Drosophila melanogaster: one gene and its partners. The protein of the gene in region 2 purifies or fractionates together with the protein of the main gene of each other region. This does not show direct contact. Each region holds a gene or a part of one and is shown on either strand. Other genes may lie near its edges.

Region 1 (5,260 bases), about 16 Mb from region 2:
AAACGGCCACTCCGAGGCCCATTTGGCCAATGCGATTAAAGAACTGAGCAGCCATTATCCTTTGAATAAAACAAACGTAATGTATTTAGTTACTGTTCTATAAACTATATATGTAAATGAAAGCCGACTGGACTTGGAAATTTCATCAGTTTTTAGGTTAGAACGTCATGGTTTAATGACAATGTGCTGTTTGCGTGTTTTTATCCCCTGTTCTTCCTGGTCTTCAAACGCAGTTAGCTCGGCTCGCTCATAGACTCACTTGTTAAAGGTTTTTGGTTGCACTTAAATTAAATTATTGTGCAATTTTGCTCTTTGAAATGCAAAACACGAAATACAACCACACGGCCTGTTATCGATAATACAACTGTCGGTGGGGCCGCCATATATCGAAACGTACTAATAAGAATCGTATTCGATTGTTTCCTAAGATTATCGATTATCGAAATTTAAAAAGAATAATAATAAACAAAGCCAGTTTACAATATCAAACTACAAATGGTGAAATTTACAATAAAAGTTTATTATTAATTGAAAACTAAAAACCCCCTCAAAATTATTGCGCCATTTCGGCTCGCCCGGCGACTTTTGGCATCTTCTTGTTCGTCGAATCCTCCAGCTCCTTGGCCTTGTAGTAGTGCGGAGCCACCTCCAGCAACCACTTGCTCTCGATCTCTATAACCTGACGCATGTACTCCTTGGAGGTGAACACCAGCTCGTGATAGAGCACCCAGCGCGGCAGCTCCTCAAAGAGCGAGGAGTTCGGATGTATCATCACGGTCTGATTGTGCTTGATGGTCTTGTAGTGACCGCCCTTCGAGAGTCGCGCCACATGGTAAAAGTAACCAGCGGTGGCTGCCTTGCGCACGTTTACTGTTTCTGGCAGGCAGCTGACCATGTCGATCTCGACACGCTGCATCAGTCCCACCAGCTGCTCCCGCACGTCGCGAGCCCGCTTCATCGATCTGTACTGGATGAAGTTCTCGTAGCACCACTGGGTGCTGTAGTCCGTCTCCGCCCACTGATTGTAGACCTGCAGGAGGCTCAAGTGGTCGCCGTGCATGTGATTGAAGTTTTTTCGGGCTGTGTCCGCGTGAATGATTTTGTCCTTGGGCCTGTAGAAAATGGCGCTATTCACGGACAGCATGGCTGCAATGGTCACCATCTCCTCGGAGCATTTGTATCTAAAACAAAAATATACGAATATTATACGAATTATTTCACTTCTGGTTTGTTAGATCGATTACATACTTTTCGCTTGCCAGCAGCATCTTGCCCATCATGGGATCCACGGGAAACTCGGCCATCCGTCGACCCAGCTTGGTTAACTCTCCATGGTGATTAAGTGCACCCAGGGCATATAGCTGCTCCAAAGCCAATACCAGTGTCTCGTGCGGCGGAGGGTCCAGAAAGTCGAAGTGTATCAGATCATTGATGCCCAGAGCCTTTAGCATGAGCACCGCATTGCCCAGATTAATACGCTGTATCTCCGGAACGGTATTGTCCTCCAGTTCATGCTTGTATGCCCACGCCGTATACAGACGGAAGCACTTTCCCGGAGCAGTTCGTCCCGCTCTGCCCGCTCGCTGATTGGCGGAGGCCTTGGAAATGGGCACCACCATAAGCGACTCCATGCCAGTGCGGGAATTAAAATTGTTCTGCTTGGCAAACCCAGGATCAATTACATAAATGATGTTGTCGATGGTTAGCGAAGTCTCTGCGATATTTGTGGCCAGGATAACTTTTCGGGCATTCGGCGGTGTGGGTTCGAAGATTTTGGCCTGCATATCACTCGGTAGATTCGCATAGACGGGTATAACGATCAGCTCACGTATTTTGGAGCCCAGCCGCTTTACGCGATCATGCAGAACCTCCTGGCAAGTCTCGATCTCATCCTGACCCGTGAGGAAGACTAGAATGTCGCCCAAAGGTTGAGTGGCATGAATCTGCAAAACTGAAACGCAACACGCGTCGATGTAGTCCGCTTCCGGAGCCTTGGTGTAGAATATGTCCACTGGATAGCGGCGACCAGGTATCCGAAAGATGGGTGCATCATCGAAGAACGCGGAGAACTTTTCCGCATCCAGAGTGGCACTGGAAATGAGCAGCTTCAACTCTGGTCTAAAGCGAGCAATATCCTTGACCAGGCCAAACAAAATGTCCGTGTGCAGTGTCCGTTCGTGAGCCTCATCGATAATCATCACACTGTAGGAGGCCAAGTCGGGTTCCGAAAGGAACTCTCGATGCAGGGTGCCGTCCGTCATGTACTTGAGAATGGTGCGATCCGAGGTGCAGTCCTCGAAACGGATGCTGTAGCCCACCTCGTTGCCCAGCTTCACGCCCATTTCCTCGGCCACGCGTGCTGCCACCGACATGGCGGCCACACGACGTGGTTGCGTGCATCCGATCATCTTCTTGTCCTTGGTGAAACCAGCTTCCACGAGGTACTGCGGCACCTGTGTCGTTTTGCCCGAGCCTGTTTCTCCTTCGATGATGAGCACCTGATGTTCCTTTACAGCAGCAATCAGATCCTCCTTGAACGGATAAACGGGCAGTGATCTTCTGGTTTCGTCCAATGTCAAACGTTTGCGTTCCTTCTCCGTGAGTTCGGGCTGTCGGCTAGATGATTTCTCTCGACTTCCGTCCAGGGTAAGGGCTTGGATGAAATCGATTTGATCGTCAAGTAGCAGCTCATACTCCTCCTCCGCCTTGGCATCTTTCGCGCCGAAATGGAAACGCGCCGAAGCCAGCTGTTCAGCCTCCCATTTCTTCTGCTCTGAGTTGGGTTGCTTCTCAAACTCATCAACCTCAACGTATTCAGCTTAAGTGGAAAAATAACATATAAGTATTTATCGAGGACCAACGTACGTTGTCTACATACATCGCTCTCCCTTTTTCAGGTCCTGCGGCATATTATAACGCTGGATGCGCTCTAGTTCCCGCGCCTTCTCGTGCTCCTTGGCGATGTTCAGCAGTTGCTTCTTGTACTCGCGCTCCTCCTTCTCCCGTTTGGTCAGGCTGAAAGCAAACCAGGATTATTTGGATACCTATGTAGGTAAGGATTAAGCTATGATCCTACACGCTCTCATCGAAGAGGTACTCATCGTCCAGGATGTCCGCCTCCAGCTCGGCCACCTTGTCATCCTTGCGCTTCTCCAGGTACTGGCGACGCGACTGCAGACGCAGGTGAGGCACTATCTTGTCCCGATCCTCATGCTCAAGCTTCAGTCGCTTGGTGGCCTCCTCGATGGCCCTTCGTCCGCCGGTGGAATCAACCACATTGCGCGTCCGATCGTCATCCCGCTTCTTCAGCCGGCTGGCGAACTCGTCGCGCTCCTGCAGGTCCTTTAGGCGAGACTCTTCCTCGCTGTCCGGCTCCTCACCGCTGCTGCTGCTGCTGGCCGTGCGTTTTCTGTTTTTACCCGACATTTTCAAGATTGCCTATAAACAAACCGGCTAGCGATAGGTAATTCGATAACATGCAGTGCTGCCAAGCTAGCTATTTTCAGCACTGGGTGAGCAAACAATAATAATCAAATTGCTAAAAATATATTATATATATATATAATATTCTATATTTATTTTATTACAAATTATGTTTCTTATATTATAGGCTTATTTGTGGCAATAACTAGTTTTAAAGGACTTATGGGTACACCTTCATGGCACATTCAATTTTGTGTGTTGCTCATTTTTTTTTGCTCGAATTTATTAGTAGAGAGCATCACTGTTCCCCTAACAGCTGTTTAATTCGTTAAACTCACCTCAGTTTCATATCATGTCGCGCCAATTGAGTTTCAATCCGCAGAAAGAATATGAGTTGATCGAGTACCCCGGCCGAGTGGTAAATCCCGATCGGATGATAGCCACTCTGGGCGGCATCATCAATGTGTCTAAGGTATGGAATTCAACCTGGTCAGGCAATCGGGCAACTTGGCTGATATCTTATTCCATGCACAGGTTTTGGGCGACGAAGTGAAACGATTGGCGTTGCACTTCCATCCGGAGAATCCCTACAACAAACCCACTTTTGGGGACTGCACGGATAAGACTGGTGTCCTGCTATCCATAACCGTGAGGCGCCACAAAAAGGACAAGCAACGGCCTCCGGAATATTTTGTGCGGGTGTTGGGCCACTGCAGCAGGAGCTTCACCTTTGAAAGTGAGTAGATGGTCGGAATTCCATCCACGATATATTCTAATTTCCTTTTACTTTAAGCGCTTTGTGATTTCCAATACCTACCCCTCTGGTCAACTCCCAAAAGTGACAACGCAAATGCTGCCCAGGAGCTCACGTACGCTTTGGACCAGTTGAAACCCAAAAACACCACCGACTTGGACTACTTTAAGTGAGTAACTTGTCCATATTCGTGCTCTGTGCACCAAGAGAATGAGATCCTGGTTTGAAAGCTATATAGCATGTATAATTAATCATTTTAATGCTCAGTATGTAAAAGCATCGTATTTTTCCCACAGACGTCGCCACAGCCAGTTGCTGGCGCTGCCCGAATTGTTCACCCACGTGGACACTGTCTATGCGGGCACGTATCGCATCGATCCCTCAGAAGACGGCCAACATGAGGTGCTGGGCGTGCAGTCCAAGTCCTCCTACGACAACCAGGGCGTGGTCTCGTTCAACATGGTGGACAGCTTTCCCACCCAGGCAGACTCCCAAAACCTTAAACGACTCAAGGTCAAGTACGTTTCGGATGAGCAGCTGGCATTGGTCAAAAAACTTTTCGATGACTGCCCAATTTGGACCCGAATCGCGCTGCAATATGAATCGGGTTTGACCAACGACAAACTCAAGTGCATCACTCCATCGCTGGCATTTTACTTTAGCAACGGCCCGTGGCGCACTTTGTATGTTCGCTTCGGCTACGATCCCCGCAAGGACTTCAATAGTCGCTACTATCAGACTTTCGACTTCCGACTCCGATTCAGCACTGGTCTCTCCGAATTCGTGTATGCTAAGAAGTTCGTAAAGCAACGGAGGGCGGCGAACGCTCCATTCGCGCCCATCGAGGATCGAGTCTCTGATTTGGTTCAGGACATTGACTATCCCTACTTCGATGAGCACAAGCTGCCGCGCTCCAGGCAATGCATGCTGCGCTACTGCGACGTCCGTATGACGAGGATCCAGGAAATGTTGGAGAAGATCCCCACTCCACTTACCGGAGCTGTGTGCAATGAACGCACGGGCTGGCTGCCGCCGGGATTCGATGCTCAAGTGCGTCAGATTGTCTGCGCCTCGATCAGCGAA
Region 2 (8,064 bases):
TGGTTCAACTGAAAGCCTATAGGAACACAGTACAAGTGCCGCGGCATTGGTGCTTCAAGCGAAAATATCTGCAGGGCAAAAGGGGTATTGAGAAGCCTCCGTTCGATCTCCCCGCCTTCATCAAAAAGACGGGCATCATGGAGATGCGCGAATCGTTGCAGGAACGAGAGGACGCCAAGACACTCAAGGCCAAGATGCGTGAACGCGTCCGTCCCAAGATGGGCAAAATTGACATTGACTACCAGAAACTTCACGATGCCTTCTTCAAGTGGCAGACCAAGCCCCGCATGACCATTCATGGCGACCTCTACTACGAGGGCAAGGAGTTTGAGACACGCCTTAAGGAAAAGAAGCCCGGAGATCTCTCCGAGGAGTTGCGCATTGCTCTGGGAATGCCCGTGGGACCCAACTCACACAAGATTCCGCCACCATGGCTCATTGCTCAACAGCGCTACGGGCCGCCGCCCTCGTATCCGAATCTTAAAATTCCTGGCCTGAATGCTCCGATCCCAGACGGAACCTCGTTCGGTTATCATGCCGGAGGTTGGGGCAAGCCGCCAGTGGATGAGAACGGAAAACCGCTGTACGGTGACGTATTTGGAACCAACATATTGGACCTTGATGTGAGTGGCAACATTCGCGTAGCACTTCTTGTTTTAATGTCATTGTTTTTTTATAGAATGGCGTAGACGAAGCTGACATTGAACGTAACCAATGGGGCGAACTGGAATCGGAGTCAGAAGAATCATCCGAGGAGGAAGAGGAAGATGGCGAGGACTTGGGCGATCAGCAGGATGAGACTGGCCTGGTAACGCCAGTAGAGGGACTAGTAACACCCTCTGGACTCACCAGTGTTCCAGCTGGCATGGAAACCCCCGAGAACATTGAGCTTCGCAAGAAGAAAATTGAAGCCGAGATGGAGGAGTAAGTGAACTAATATTTTTAAAATAACATCACGATTAAGCCCATTATTCCAACTTCTCCTAGCAACGAAACTCCTGTTCTGTATCAAGTGCTGCCTGAGAAGCGCACCGACCGCATAGGGGCTTCCATGATGGGATCAACCCATGTCTACGACGTCAGTGGCAGTGGGGCTAACAAACAGCCCCCAGTTCGATCAACCACAGATCGCGAGGGCATTGTGGAACTGGCTCTCGATCCTAGCGAATTGGACTTGGACAATGACGCAATGGCCCAGCGTTATGAGCAACAAATGCGTGAGCAGCAGAATCACCTGCAAAAGGAGGATCTGTCAGACATGTTGGCCGAACATGTGGCGCGGCAGAAATCGAAGCGCAAGCGACAGCAAACGGATCCGGCCAAGACCACAAAGAAGTACAAGGAGTTCAAGTTTTAGTTTGACAACAAGAAATACAACTTTTCCATTTGTGCGATTGTCAAGGATGTCATTAAACATAGTAAAAACTACAATAAGTTCGCGTCATTCAATTTAAATGCGAGGATTTAAAATAGGTTCTGCAAAAAGTGAAGTTAACACAAAAGATCTTATCTTGTAATTTCTATCGTAATTTGTTTATTTTGATGCAGAATCAAAATCATTTGCGTATAACTTAAAATTTGACTCGTTAGGTTTAATTCTCATTTATACATTGAAACTTATTGAGACTAAGAAATTACAATTGTGGTTCGCTGTGTGGTTTGTGCTGGGACCAGGACAGTATCTAAACCAAACGAAGCAGAGTGCAGTGGAAGGCAAGGACTGAAAAGAGAACTTGTCCAGCAACTGAGTCCAGGGCTAGCTACCTCTCCCGATCCTCCTTAAGCTAGAGCTAGAGAGTGCCACACGATGTCGATGTCGGCTTTGACTCAACGCCTGTCAGCTGGTCACTCGTCGAGCTGCTCGCTGAGTTGGGCTAGAAGAGCCGCTCGCTTCGATTCCAGCTCGCCGTCACTTAACGTCAGCTCCTCGTTTCGCGATCCAGACGACTCGACGGACTGGGCAGGACTAAGGGGCGTGCCGGATCGATTGTGCCTGTTGTGTCGCTTGTCCTTCTTAGCTCGCTTCTCCTTCTTCTTTTTCTTTGCGGGTGAGTGCGAGTTTGAGTCGTTCTGAAGTAGAGCTTGAGTTCCCGGCGATTGAATGCCTGGAACATCCGATTCGCAGGAGGACTGAAATGTAAGCCATGTTAGATAGTATAGTTGTCCAAGGACTGGGCCGACTTGCTACGTACACCTCGCAGTTTGTTCTTGCGCTTCTTTTTCTTCTTCAGCAATTTTTCGCTCTCGATGCTGCCAATTGAGGTCAGGGAATGCTGTATGTGCGTGACGTTATTATTTAACTTACAAGTTGCATTTAATGTTATGTTTAGCATACTAACCGATCGTGTCTTGGAGCGCCTTCGCTTGGACTTCTCCACTTCTATATGCTCATTCTCGATGTCTGATCTCGAGACGGACCGTACTCGTTTTTTGTGCTTCTTGTTTTTCTTAGATTTTCGTGATCGCGAGTGATGATGGCTGCACGCATCTTCGCTTTCCTTAACAAAGTCCTCCCAGATCTTCTCCACACCGATTTCTTTTTCATAAAGGGCAAATGCTTCAAGGTGTTCTACCAGCTTCTTGGCGCTCTCATAGGGTTCGGCCACTGAGACGTTCGCCTCCAGCCATTCGTTTTTAATTTCATTTTCTAGTTTCCGCAACCTTCGCACCTCCTCTTTCATCCGTTCCTTTTCAATGGCCTCGGCCTGTAGATTATAAATACACAAATGAGTTTTATTGATATAAGGTTTTTTTCCCACTCCATAGTTACCTTTTCCAGCAGGGAGTTGTATGTGAGCTTCACATTTCCCGCGTCCAGGCTGGCTGACCGCTTATCTTCACACACGACCGTGGCAAAGTCCTCGAAGGATGTCTTCGCTTGGACAACAAATGCCTTTTCCTTGAGGATCTCCCTTATTATTTTTTTCTCATCATGGAAGCGGGCTTTCAGGTTTTCCACATAGAACTTGAAAAGATCCAGGGGTGTAGACCCGCTCTGGCCGAGCATAGCGGAGAATCGCAAATCGGCTGATATGATGGGATACAGCTCCACCCACAGCGACATGGAAGTGAGCTTTCCCTCTTCATGCAGGGAGTCGAGCAGCGCAAGAAAGGAGTCCCTGTTTTTGCGCTGCTGTCGCTTCATGCGCTTCTTTTCCCGCTCACGTTCCTCGTCCTCCTCCTTTTCCAAGGTGCGAATGTGCTCCTCGAAGACAATTAGGGCGTCCTCCTTGTCCATTCCGAGCAGAGTCACATCATTCTTAAATGCTACGTTGTCCAATAGCATAACCTGAGCCTCTGACCAGGTGGTGGCATGATTGATTGAAGTCATCGACTCTAGCAGCTCGCCCAGAACCTTCATGTTTCGTTTTTTCAGCAACCGCGCTTCTTCCTTCTCTCGCTTCGCTAAATTAAATATACAGTCCTCGTATATATCTCGCCGATCCGGTTCCGGCACCGCGGTCCATGTTCGCGTTCCGGCAAATACTTCTTCACAACGAAAATATTTCATCTGCGAGTTCATCTTATCGCTGGACATAAGGAACTGCTCCAAGTCCTCTTTTGCCTTCTTGGCTTTTAAGCGAGACTCCTCGCGCTCGTCCTTAATCTTCTGCGTCTTGTAGGCATTGAATGTTTGCTTGCGCTCGTTCAGATTTTTGAAGGCTGCGTATCGCGGATCCTTTGATATGATTTTCACACACTGGTCCCAGTTCGCATTTGATGGCACATTGCGGTCCCGCAGCAGCTCTTTAAAGGACTCGATGGCCTCGCGTTTATCCTTAAACACCACAGCGCTCTCTGACTTGTCGTCCTTCTTAGCTGCAAAGAAAGTCGTGTGACTTGGGCTGTATATTTTCAGAGTTTATAATATTTACCATTTTGTTGTGGCACCTCTATAGCCGCTAACGTGGCGGCCATGGCCTGATCCATCGCTGATGACGAGTTCTCGTTGCTGCTGGGTGTCAGCGGCGAGTGGATCTCAGGAGTCGGTAATCGGGGGGCAACAGGCAGGGCAGCGGGAAGAATACTAGCCAGAGCAGCAGGTGGCACCATGCCGGCTAAGCTGGATGATGTCATGGCTGCTACGGCTTTGGCGGCTGCAGCAGCTCTGGGTAAACAAGGAATCATATTACTAAGTGGCACGCGATGCACAACTAATTTACTTACTCTTCCGCCTTCGCCTTGGCCTTCATATCCACGTACTCCGGCGGCGGCTCCCAGCAGGTCTCCTTGGTGGCCACGTTGTGGTAGTACACTTTGCCCGTATCCGAGCGATACTCCTTCCAGGGACACTGGTTGTGCAGCAGCTCGGCGGGCGTCATCAGAGCCTCCGGCTTCTCCCACGAGCTTTGCTTCGTGTTCTGATTGTAATAGTATGGTCGTCCGTCCGGCGCCTTGTGCTCCGTCCACTCGGTGCTGGTGGCCATCACCCCGAAGGCGGCGGCCAGCTCCGGTGGGGGTGGGGCCCCAAATCCGGGTGGTGGAAACTGCGGCACGATTGCACCGGGCGGCGTGTAGCCTATGCCCCTTCCCGGTGGCGCTCCTCCATTGCCCACGCTAGGAGGAACATTCATTTCACTATTTTGCTATATGGGTAATGGGTGCACCGAGAGTCTACCGGTCGTTGCGTGCTGCGCCGGCCAATTCACTTTTCTTTCGGTAATTGAAAAAATCCGTAAAATTCTCAAAGCGAATGCCGCTTTCCACGCCAGAGATGTCGATTGTGCAATGAAACTGCCCACCCCATCGAGTTATCGAGTCCACACACGAGAACTGTCCACCCGGTAGATTTTCTGTTATCGATTAGCTTCCGCGGAACGATAACAGCGCTTTTTGTTGTGGTTCTTCGCTGTGTGCCTTTCAATTGTTAGAGTTTCCTTGTCGTCGAGGGCGATTAAGGAATACTGCCCAGCGACGATGTGGCGTACATAGAGTAAGAAATAGCTGAAATGTACAACATTTAAGTTAAATGATGCTTACACTATTTTTTGCTACCAGATCTCTCTGCAGTCATGCTCCTCTGGTTGCCCATTGCGGTGGCACGCAGGATGTTCATCATCCTCGTCCTAATGGTAATTGGAGGCCTCTTCTACATCTACACTTCGGAAAATAAATACCACTCATGCTTTATGGAGGGCCAAGTACTGGCAACTCAGCAGGCGCTAACTGCAGATGGCGAAACAAATCTATTGGGCGACGTCCTCCAGGCGGATCCCAAACCCTCGCCCGGAAACAGTATCTTCTTTCACGAGACCAGCTGCCGCCTATCCGAGAACAGACAGCTGGAGACGCTGAAGGTCACTGCCCGCCAGGCATGCGCAATCGAGTCGGCAGCGATGCATAATCCGAATTTCCAAGTGTTCGTCCTGTTCGCTGGCCCCACCTATCGAATCTCCAACAACAAAAGCCATCCCCAACCATTGTTGGAGGCCATTCTCAGTTACAGCAATGTCCATCTACGTCGACTGAATCTCGAGAGTTACGCATCTGGCACGCCCATGGAGGAGTGGCTCAAAGATGGTCGTTTGTCGCGGTCAAAGTGAGTTTAAAGACTCTCCCTAGTTATTACTCATTGATGACATTACCTTTCCAGATATTTGTTCTCGCACATATCAGACTTTCTCCGCTACCTTACCCTCTATCGGTATGGCGGTCTTTATCTGGACATGGATGTGGTGGTGCTTCGCAACATGGAGAAGGTGCCGCCCAATTACACAGGTGCTGAGTCCAACACCCATTTGGCAGCTGGCGTAATGAACCTGGCAGCCACTGGCTTTGGCCACGAGATCGCCGCGTCCTGTTTGCGCGACTTTCAGCACAACTTTAACGGCGGGGACTGGGGCAACAATGGCCCAGGGGTGATAACCCGTGTGGCTCAGAAGATATGTGGCACCAAAGACATTGCTCTGATGCGAGAGGACCCCAAGCGCTGCATGGGCTTCAAAGTATTCGGACGGGGCGCCTTTTACGCCGTACCGTGGAAGCAGTGGCGAGACTTCTTTGAGCCGGAAAACTTAGAAGAGACAATCGCCCGGTGCAAGGACTCGTATGTAGTGCATGTGTGGAATAAGCACTCGAGCAAGCTGCCTATCAAAATAGGATCTAAGAACGCCTACGCCTTGTATGCCGAACAAAATTGCCCGAGATCGTACAAGGCTGCTGGCGAATACTTCTAGTATCAGAAGGGTTATCAAGCTCTTATCATTTGTATATGAATGTTTACCGCTGCAAGCCAAAGTCGTCGCCCTGCAAAGGGGCCATTGCTAAATGTATCCCTACCTATTTGCTGTCATCCTGTTGGCATTAAGTTTCATTGTCATTCCAAGCGATGTCAGCTTACTCAAACGCACATCCGCAGCACAGTTCAAGTCAAATGGAATGGTTTTTTATTTTGCGATAAGCTTTACCTCTCCGATTGCACATTATATATATGTATTTAAATACTGATTGTGAATATAATTCGATAATATAAGCAAGCGAACAACTCACATAGACATTTATTGAAAGCTGTAAAAGTCGCTTAGAATACTATTTTGAATCATTGTAGTTTGTCTTAACTAAGTTCGAATAAGTTGAAGAATTTTGTACATACTATTTATCCAGGGAATGTTACTATCAACCTACAAATAAAATAGAAGTATTTAAGTCATCACAAACACAGTATCTTAACTCTATTTCGATAATTGAAAAATAATTTGTTAAAGCGAAATGAAAGTTAATATCCCCGCAAGTCATTACATGCATTGCACTTGGGAATATCGCAGACAGGCACCCACGTTATCCTCTGCGTTCGCCTTGCCGGCGCCCTGGCCATTGCCGAAGTGGACACCAATATAGAACGGAGTCACAGTGCTTTCAATGCGACAGGGCCACACGCCCGAGGAGCAGAATTGGGCGCCGCAGTGGACGGGCTCGCACCCAGGAAGTGGGCCCAGACCGGTTCCTATGAAATCCTCTATGATGCAAGGCATTGTAATCCGGTCAGAGCAGGTGCTGAAGAACTGGCGGGCCTGTCGCCGTCGCCACTTCAGCGGCAAATCGATGGCATTCCGAATAATACCCATGATGTCGAAGCCTCCACTGGGACGAGGACGTCTGGAAACGGTAGGTCCCTCCGTGGTGGGACGACTCCTGAAGAAGAGAAACCCACCGTCGTCATCCTCATCATCGCCTACCTCACCACCCGATCCCTCCACATCATCGCTGGCTGGCGAAGATGCAGGTGCTGCCGAGGTGGTAGATGCCTCTGTACTGGATCGGAGCGGTGTGGGAGTGGTTGATGTTGTCGTCGTGCTCATGGCAGCGGTGCTGCTACTGCTGCTGCTGCTGGTACTGCCCGATGATACTGAACTGGCAGCCAGAGTCGAATTTCCGCTCATCATGGTCATCAGCGTTGTGGTTGTGGAGTTTGCCATGTTGGCTAGCATCTGCATGAGGGTGCTAGAAGTAGGTGCTGTAGTGGTCACTGCAGCATTGCCTAATGTTGTTGCTGTTGCACCTGCTGCATCTGACTGGGCTGGAGCAGGACTCGACGTTGCCGTTGTCGCTGCTGCTTCAGAGGTGCCACCACCTCGGCTTGCCATTCGCCCACCTCCGCCGATGCGGAAGGACTGCTCATCGCATGGCTGGTACATAATGGAGCACATGTCCAGCTCCTGGCGCACACAAATCCGATAGTTTTGATTGGCCAAATGTCGACCATTCTCGGCGAAGTTAAAGGTTTGCATAATGCCCTCGGTGCCGGTGTGATATTGTAGGCAACCCGCCGGAGCTCGTTGGCTGAAGGGGATCTGCACCACACTCATCTCCCAAATGCGGAGCGGCAGAAGGCGACTGGACAGGCTCAGACTGATGTCGATGAAGCGATCGCCCGTGGGGGTGGAGTTGCTAGGGCCAGTACTCGCATCCACAGGGCGCAGACTGCCGTACAAAGTAGATTGTCGTGGCGACGCCCGTGTCCCCACATCGTAGTACACTGAAAAAAAGGAGCATCAGTTATTTACTCAGGCAGCTTACACACATGTATACTCACAGTGCTGACCACTGTTTTGGCCGCATAGGGAG
Region 3 (5,785 bases), 6.9 Mb from region 2:
GTGCGTATGCATAACAGGCATATCTTGCGCCACATTCGCTTAGAACCACATTACGACTCTGAGTGAAGTCGCCTACCAATTCGGCATCCCCGCCTCCTGCGCACGCACGCACTTGGACAGATCGGACACCGCCGCCTCTCCACCTGATCGCAGCCTCCAGTTCCATGCTACGCGCGGGCGTGCCGGCTGTCGCCCGCTGTCCAGCGTCGCCCAACCCAATCAGCAACAAGAGACATATAAATTGAAGTAGTCTCTATAAATAATAAGTTGTGTCTACTTAGCGACATGTACACTGGCTTAGATCGTGTCCGATACCAAAGGGGATCGGGGGATTCGGTGGAGGATGGAGGAGCTGAAAAGCGCACGTATGTTTTGGCAAAACTGTCAAATTTACTAAGCGAATGGTGCTTAATTCGCTCGCTAATGCACTTGTAGCTCTTGCATTGCAAATCTGAAACACTTAAGCTTATACAGATTATATATAATAATATTCAACTTTTGGCATTTCTAAAGTTTTTTATTATCGATTTCAGCTGATTTCTATGTTTTCTTGAAATATCAAAAAATTGCAAATAGATTACATATGTATTTCACTGACATCTTTTTGGTTTTCTTTTTTTTTTTTTCTTCTTTTTTGTTAATCGTTCAGCTGTGACAACAATACGACGCACTACACATAATCATTTGTCTCACATATGAATTCTTTATGTAGAAAAGGTTAAGTAAATCGCTAGCGTATTGTACTATATAGAGCCGTATGTGTTCAGTAATTGGCAATTTTGAAAACGTTGAATCTATTGGCTGTGCTTTGCCTGCTCTCAGCACCACAGCTCGTCCTTAAAATAATAAAAATAATATAGAACACAATTACAACAATGAAAACGAGTGCATGGTCTGTGTCGCAGGCAAATAGCCACTGAGGTAAAAAAAAAAGCAAAAGCTGTTAACAAGAAAAGGTGCGACGGTCACCAGACTGATGCCTACGCTCCTCATAATGCGCCCGGTTTCAGGGAGAACGATAGCTTGGGCCTGGAATTGTTTTTGCCTAATATGACCTTCTGCTCTTCCTTGACGCGCTTCTCCTGCTCCTTGCGCATGCGTTGCCGCTCCTCGTCCATAAGGCGCTGCTCCTCGATTATTGCTAACCGTTCTTCGGCCTAAAGAAAAAAGAAATCAATTATGATCATAATAATATGGTTTGTTTGCTATGAATTCTTACCAGTTTTCTTTGCGCCTCTTCGATTTTGCGATTGTTTTCGGCCAAAATTTCTTCGAGCTCTTCGCGTTTTTGTTTTTCATCCTCCTATAAAACCCAAACAAGAAGACGATTAATAACAAAAATCGATCCTTTAGCGAGAAGCTTAATGCTAATTATAGAAATAAACAGTCTCTTGACATCAGCGATGCAAACTGTGCGACGAATTCGACGCACGTTTGTGGTTGCAGTTTTTTGCTTGATGAGCTGCAAAGGCAGTTAAAATCTAGTTTTATGTTTAACAATAAGTTACAAAGAATATTTTCGGTAGAAAGTAAAACATTTAGTAGTGTCTAATAAGAATGTTTAAAGTAGGTTGTTCTTTTAGTTTATTACAATAAAGGAGCACACAACATAAACAAATGTACTAGTATTTGCTAAATGGTTGGTCTTCATTTGGTTTTTTTTTTTTTTTATTGTTGCTACTTACTATTTAAATAGGTCATTATTCCAGTAAATAGGCTAAATTTGTGTTAATTTATGGTTTTCTTTTTTTTTTTTTTTGCAGATTTTCGATTTGGGATTATTTTTGTGGAGTTTTTCGCTATTCCAGACGTACATATGTAATTTGCTCGCAAAAACAAAAAGCTTAAACACAAATAAGTGGCAATCCAATGCGTATCCGGTTTCAAAAATTCTTACAGACAGAGTTCTATAGAGCTAAACCCTGGGGGGAGTCTTTGAGTCTTTGGGTCTGTGCGCCGTCCTTTCTCGCCTGTTATCCTTACGGCTGCTGGGCAACATCACACATCGCTGGCGTAGGAAACTCACCCGTTATCAAAAGTGGCAGTGATTTGATTTGCATGCAGCGTACTGTTGGGACTAAACTCAGTCGGCCCGCCCACAACTAGAGTGCCTAACTACCCGGACTAACTTAGGGACACCATACCACTTCGCTGGGCTTTGGTATTTCTTTGATTCTTTTGATATTTATTGTTTGGTGTGGAGGAAATGCGTCCGTGGACCAATCGCTCGGCAGCAGGCTTGCTCAACTTCCGGCATGGCGGCACAACGTGGAGTGCACGCGAGTGTTTTGCGGGTAAGGATCACAAAACAGCCACACACACCCACTTGCATACGGGACAAGAGCAGCACGTTCGTTGCACGGGCCTACTGAAGCGGAATTTGCGCGCAATAACAACAACAACGAGTTACGAGAACCAATACCAAAAAAATTAAAATGATACAGTATGTGGGTAGGAACGAACAAAAGATGAAGCTAAGAGTATGCAATAAGTCTGCAATAATGGGCATCAAAACTTTGACACATGCGACACTTGGCAATGTCGTCATTTTGGCTTTTTTGGTAGGAAAAATAAAAAGTTACAAAATTATTGGCAAGAAGAAAAAAAGGGGCAAAACGAGCCGTGGCGTTCTCATCTCGGCTCACAGCATTTAGCTTGCTGCATCATGTGGGGAGGGCTCTGAAAAGTTGCGACTGGTTAGTGATGTACCCGGTTAGTGGGCGCCCTTGGCCCAGGGTTATGCAAGCAATCTAGTACGGGGAGGCTGCTGATGGGACATGGGTTGATGGATGAACAGCCAGTGAGCCGCGACTGAGAGCGCCGCCGGATCGATTTCGCGTGACGTGGTGGAGACGACTGTTTGAACTGCTGTTTTGGATTTATTCAAGTGTACGGTAAATGTGGCATTGTGTACGTGTTTCTGACAGTGATAGCAGCAGTCGTCCAGCGGAATCTGAATACGAGCACCTACCTCGCGCCGGCGTTCTTCTTCGCGTATCTGCTCTCGCCGCCGCTCCAGCTCCAGCATCATTTCGCGCTCCATCTCAGCCTTGGCGGTCTCAACGCGTCGATTGACCTCCTGTTCGATTTCGTCGCGACGCTTTTCTAGCTCCTCCTCGACGCGCTTTTTTACCAGCATCTCTATGCGCTTGGCGGCTTCCTCTTCGATTGTCTTTTGCTCGAGCTCCTTCGCCCGACGCTGCCGCTCCATCTCGGCCAGGCGTTCGACCTGCATCTGGTTTTGCTGTAATGGTAGATCATAGTTTAGTTGCTTTCATCGAAACAGTTGTATCATAAGCGCAGCATGAGTGTCCATCCCGGAAAAATGCGTGTATGGAATGCGTACCCATGGAGTGCTCAAGATGACAGACTATGGACACTATCCACTTACCTCATCCAGCTTCTTAAAGCGGCTGCGCTTCTGTTTGCTACGTTGCGACTCCTGCTCGGAGTACTGACTGTCGCTGCTCGACGAGCTGGAGCGTTTTCGGGATTTCAGGATCGAGGGGGAGTGACGGTAGTCGCGCTCAGTGTGTCGGTCGCTGCGGTGTCTATCCCGCTCGCGGTCCCTGTCCCGTTCGCGATGTCGTCCATGGTTGTTCACCTCCGAGGACTTGTCTCTATCCGTTCTTGTGCTGGGCCGCTCGTGGTCGTGGTGGGACTTACTGCGTTTTTTGTGCTTGCTCTTATGGTGGCGTCGCTTGCCCGACGGACTGGGTGTACGTGAACGGGAGCCCATGGTGCTGGATTGTGTGATTGTATAAGATTTCGAGCTAGTCGAAGGGCTTAACTTGGCTGCCACAACAAATCAATGAGAGCGAATTTAATTTCTCGAGCAATTTTCACAGATGCCTTAAAACAGTGTGCACAACGTTGGCATACTGGCCTGACATAATTCTGGTATTTTTTTTGATACGGTATTTTCTGTGCTTTTTTTATTTTAATTTCTGTGTTGCCCAACATTAGACCGGCAATTGTTTTCAGTTCACATTGGTTTGTTTTGATCTAAAATCATTTGGTGGAACTTGTCGATCATGACTTGGTTATCCTTAAAGCCGACGCACTGCTTGGCCTCCTCCTTGGGCAGCCACTTGAGGTCGGTGTGCTCCTCGGAGAGAATGGGCTCCTGGCAGGGATTCCGCAGCTCCGCTAGCCAGTAAATAACAATCTTCGGCTTGTCTTGCACCTGATAATTCAGGGTCAGCGGAGTGTCCTTGTATATGATCAGATCCTTCTCGTCGTACCTATGAGAGCATTTTTGAAATTAAGCATGTTTTAAAAGATATATCGTTGTGCACTTTCCCGGCTTCCTCTTTCGTTTCTCGCAGGGCAGTGGTAAAATCATCCTCGCCTGGGTCCACATGTCCCTTGGGAGAACTCCAGTGGAAGGAGCCGTAGGAAGCCTTCAGCAATAGGTATTGTATTTCCCCACAAAGGCGGCGAAAAATAACAAAACCAGCTGCCTTTTCCATGTTGTTGCTATCAATTAACCGAAACAGGTGTTTGAACAGTGCTCGAAAGTCTCCAATAACAGTGGTGCTTTTCTAGCTGTTTCCCTCTTTTGCTTATTAGTAGTTCACTTCGTGTGAGAGGAAATTAGTCAGTGTTGAAAAGCGAATGCAGATTTAACGTATGCTTGCGGACTTGCACGTTGTTTTGTAAATTCATTACATAAATTGAGAAGAAGTGCATCCGATATGTACGCCCTGCTTCGCCGCTTTGCCGGCGTCACCAACTTGGGATGTCCCATCAGAACCTACGCCTCCCTTACGCCCAGAGATGTATTGCGGAGCAGCGATGAGACCGGCACACTGCTGACCCGCTTCGCCAAGCACATTGCACTGGAGCGCTACAGGGATTCGGATCACGTGTTGCCCAAGACGACGGTCCGGTACTCTGACTTCTTTCCCATCACGGACGACCGGTACTTTCAGCGGACGGTAGAGAAAACGGATGCAGCCCAATTGCCCGCCCTGATCATCCAGGCATCCAGCTATCGCTCCAATGCCGCTGTACCCATGTATGTGACTGCGCTTAACACGTTGGATAACCATGCGGCTAAACAGCTGGACAAGATGGATACCGCCACAGTGCTCGAGACGCTCTACTCCTTTCTATTCCTCATACCAAGTTGGATAAAGCGATTGGATTTTTACCAAGCAGCCATGCAACGACTGGTCAGGGAGGATTTTCGCGGCAACAAGGAGCGATTCGTTCAGGTGTGCTTCTATATGGGATTGCAAAAGAAGCAGGCCAAATCTTCTGAGGAATTCCAGCAACTCCTGGAAGAGCATCTACAAACGCATTTGCCTGAACTAAATGAAATGGACCTTGCCGTGGTCAGCAATGCGGCGTACAAAACCTCAACTTTGGTAACCGGTGAGGCGAAAACGGCATACGAAGCAAGACTCGTTAATGCCATATTAAATCTGGAGATAAACACCGGAAGCGATGCCTTGCTGGTCTCCTTTGTCAAGGCATTGCGTCTGCAGCAAGTCAAAGATGAACGAGTGTGCCAGCACCTGCAAGATATCTGTCTGGATCCTGTAAAGATAACCCATATTGAACCCCGAGGACTTGCCCATATCTTTGCATTCTTTGCCGAGCAGCTTTGGGATCAGAATGAATGCCTAACTGTCGTCGTAAAACGACTCATGACTCTTCTCAAGCCTGGAGACCTGCGCTCCAAAGACTTGGCCACATTCCTGTGGGCCAGCGCTCAACTCAATTGTGCATTGACTCCTGAGGAAATCAGACAATTGGAACTGACCGCCCTGCGCAAGCT

Evidence for each region. Proteins that work in one complex are often made in the same cells at the same time.
Region 1: the proteins of Prp40 (region 2) and l(2)37Cb purify together in Drosophila melanogaster (affinity purification with mass spectrometry, with the first as the bait; one large-scale study listed by BioGRID). This does not show direct contact.
Region 3: the proteins of Prp40 (region 2) and Arglu1 purify together in Drosophila melanogaster (affinity purification with mass spectrometry, with the first as the bait; one large-scale study listed by BioGRID). This does not show direct contact.

What each region holds. Positions count from the first base shown.
Region 1 is NT_033779.5:19,123,498-19,128,757, forward strand, and holds l(2)37Cb (lethal (2) 37Cb), read right to left. Parts: upstream 3,480-5,260; 5' UTR 3,427-3,479; coding exon 3,077-3,426; intron 3,016-3,076; coding exon 2,879-3,015; intron 2,819-2,878; coding exon 1,249-2,818; intron 1,182-1,248; coding exon 554-1,181; 3' UTR 501-553; downstream 1-500. Other genes in the region: Phb1 (prohibitin 1), read right to left, coding at 1-55; l(2)37Cd (lethal (2) 37Cd), read left to right, coding at 3,776-3,895, 3,958-4,159, 4,217-4,346, 4,474-5,260.
Region 2 is NT_033779.5:3,019,898-3,027,961, reverse strand, and holds Prp40 (pre-mRNA processing factor 40), read right to left. Parts: upstream 4,737-8,064; 5' UTR 4,575-4,736; coding exon 4,168-4,574; intron 4,109-4,167; coding exon 3,876-4,108; intron 3,820-3,875; coding exon 2,771-3,819; intron 2,706-2,770; coding exon 2,340-2,705; intron 2,274-2,339; coding exon 2,193-2,273; intron 2,131-2,192; coding exon 1,846-2,130; 3' UTR 1,523-1,845; downstream 1-1,522. Other genes in the region: Sf3b2 (splicing factor 3b subunit 2), read left to right, coding at 1-623, 680-924, 988-1,357; alpha4GT1 (alpha1,4-galactosyltransferase 1), read left to right, coding at 5,013-5,539, 5,594-6,176; CG17264 (uncharacterized protein), read right to left, coding at 6,735-7,975, 8,033-8,064.
Region 3 is NT_033779.5:9,934,267-9,940,051, forward strand, and holds Arglu1 (arginine and glutamate rich 1), read right to left. Parts: upstream 3,869-5,785; 5' UTR 3,740-3,868; coding exon 3,392-3,739; exon of another isoform or gene 3,245-3,391; coding exon 2,972-3,244; coding exon of another isoform or gene 2,738-2,971; exon of another isoform or gene 1,304-2,737; coding exon 1,220-1,303; intron 1,158-1,219; coding exon 990-1,157; 3' UTR 501-989; downstream 1-500. Other genes in the region: CG4619 (uncharacterized protein), read left to right, coding at 4,698-5,785. UniProt on the Drosophila melanogaster protein: Post-transcriptional regulator of gene expression; modulates splicing and premature cleavage at cryptic polyadenylation sites of its own pre-mRNA through binding and regulation of the U1-snRNP complex.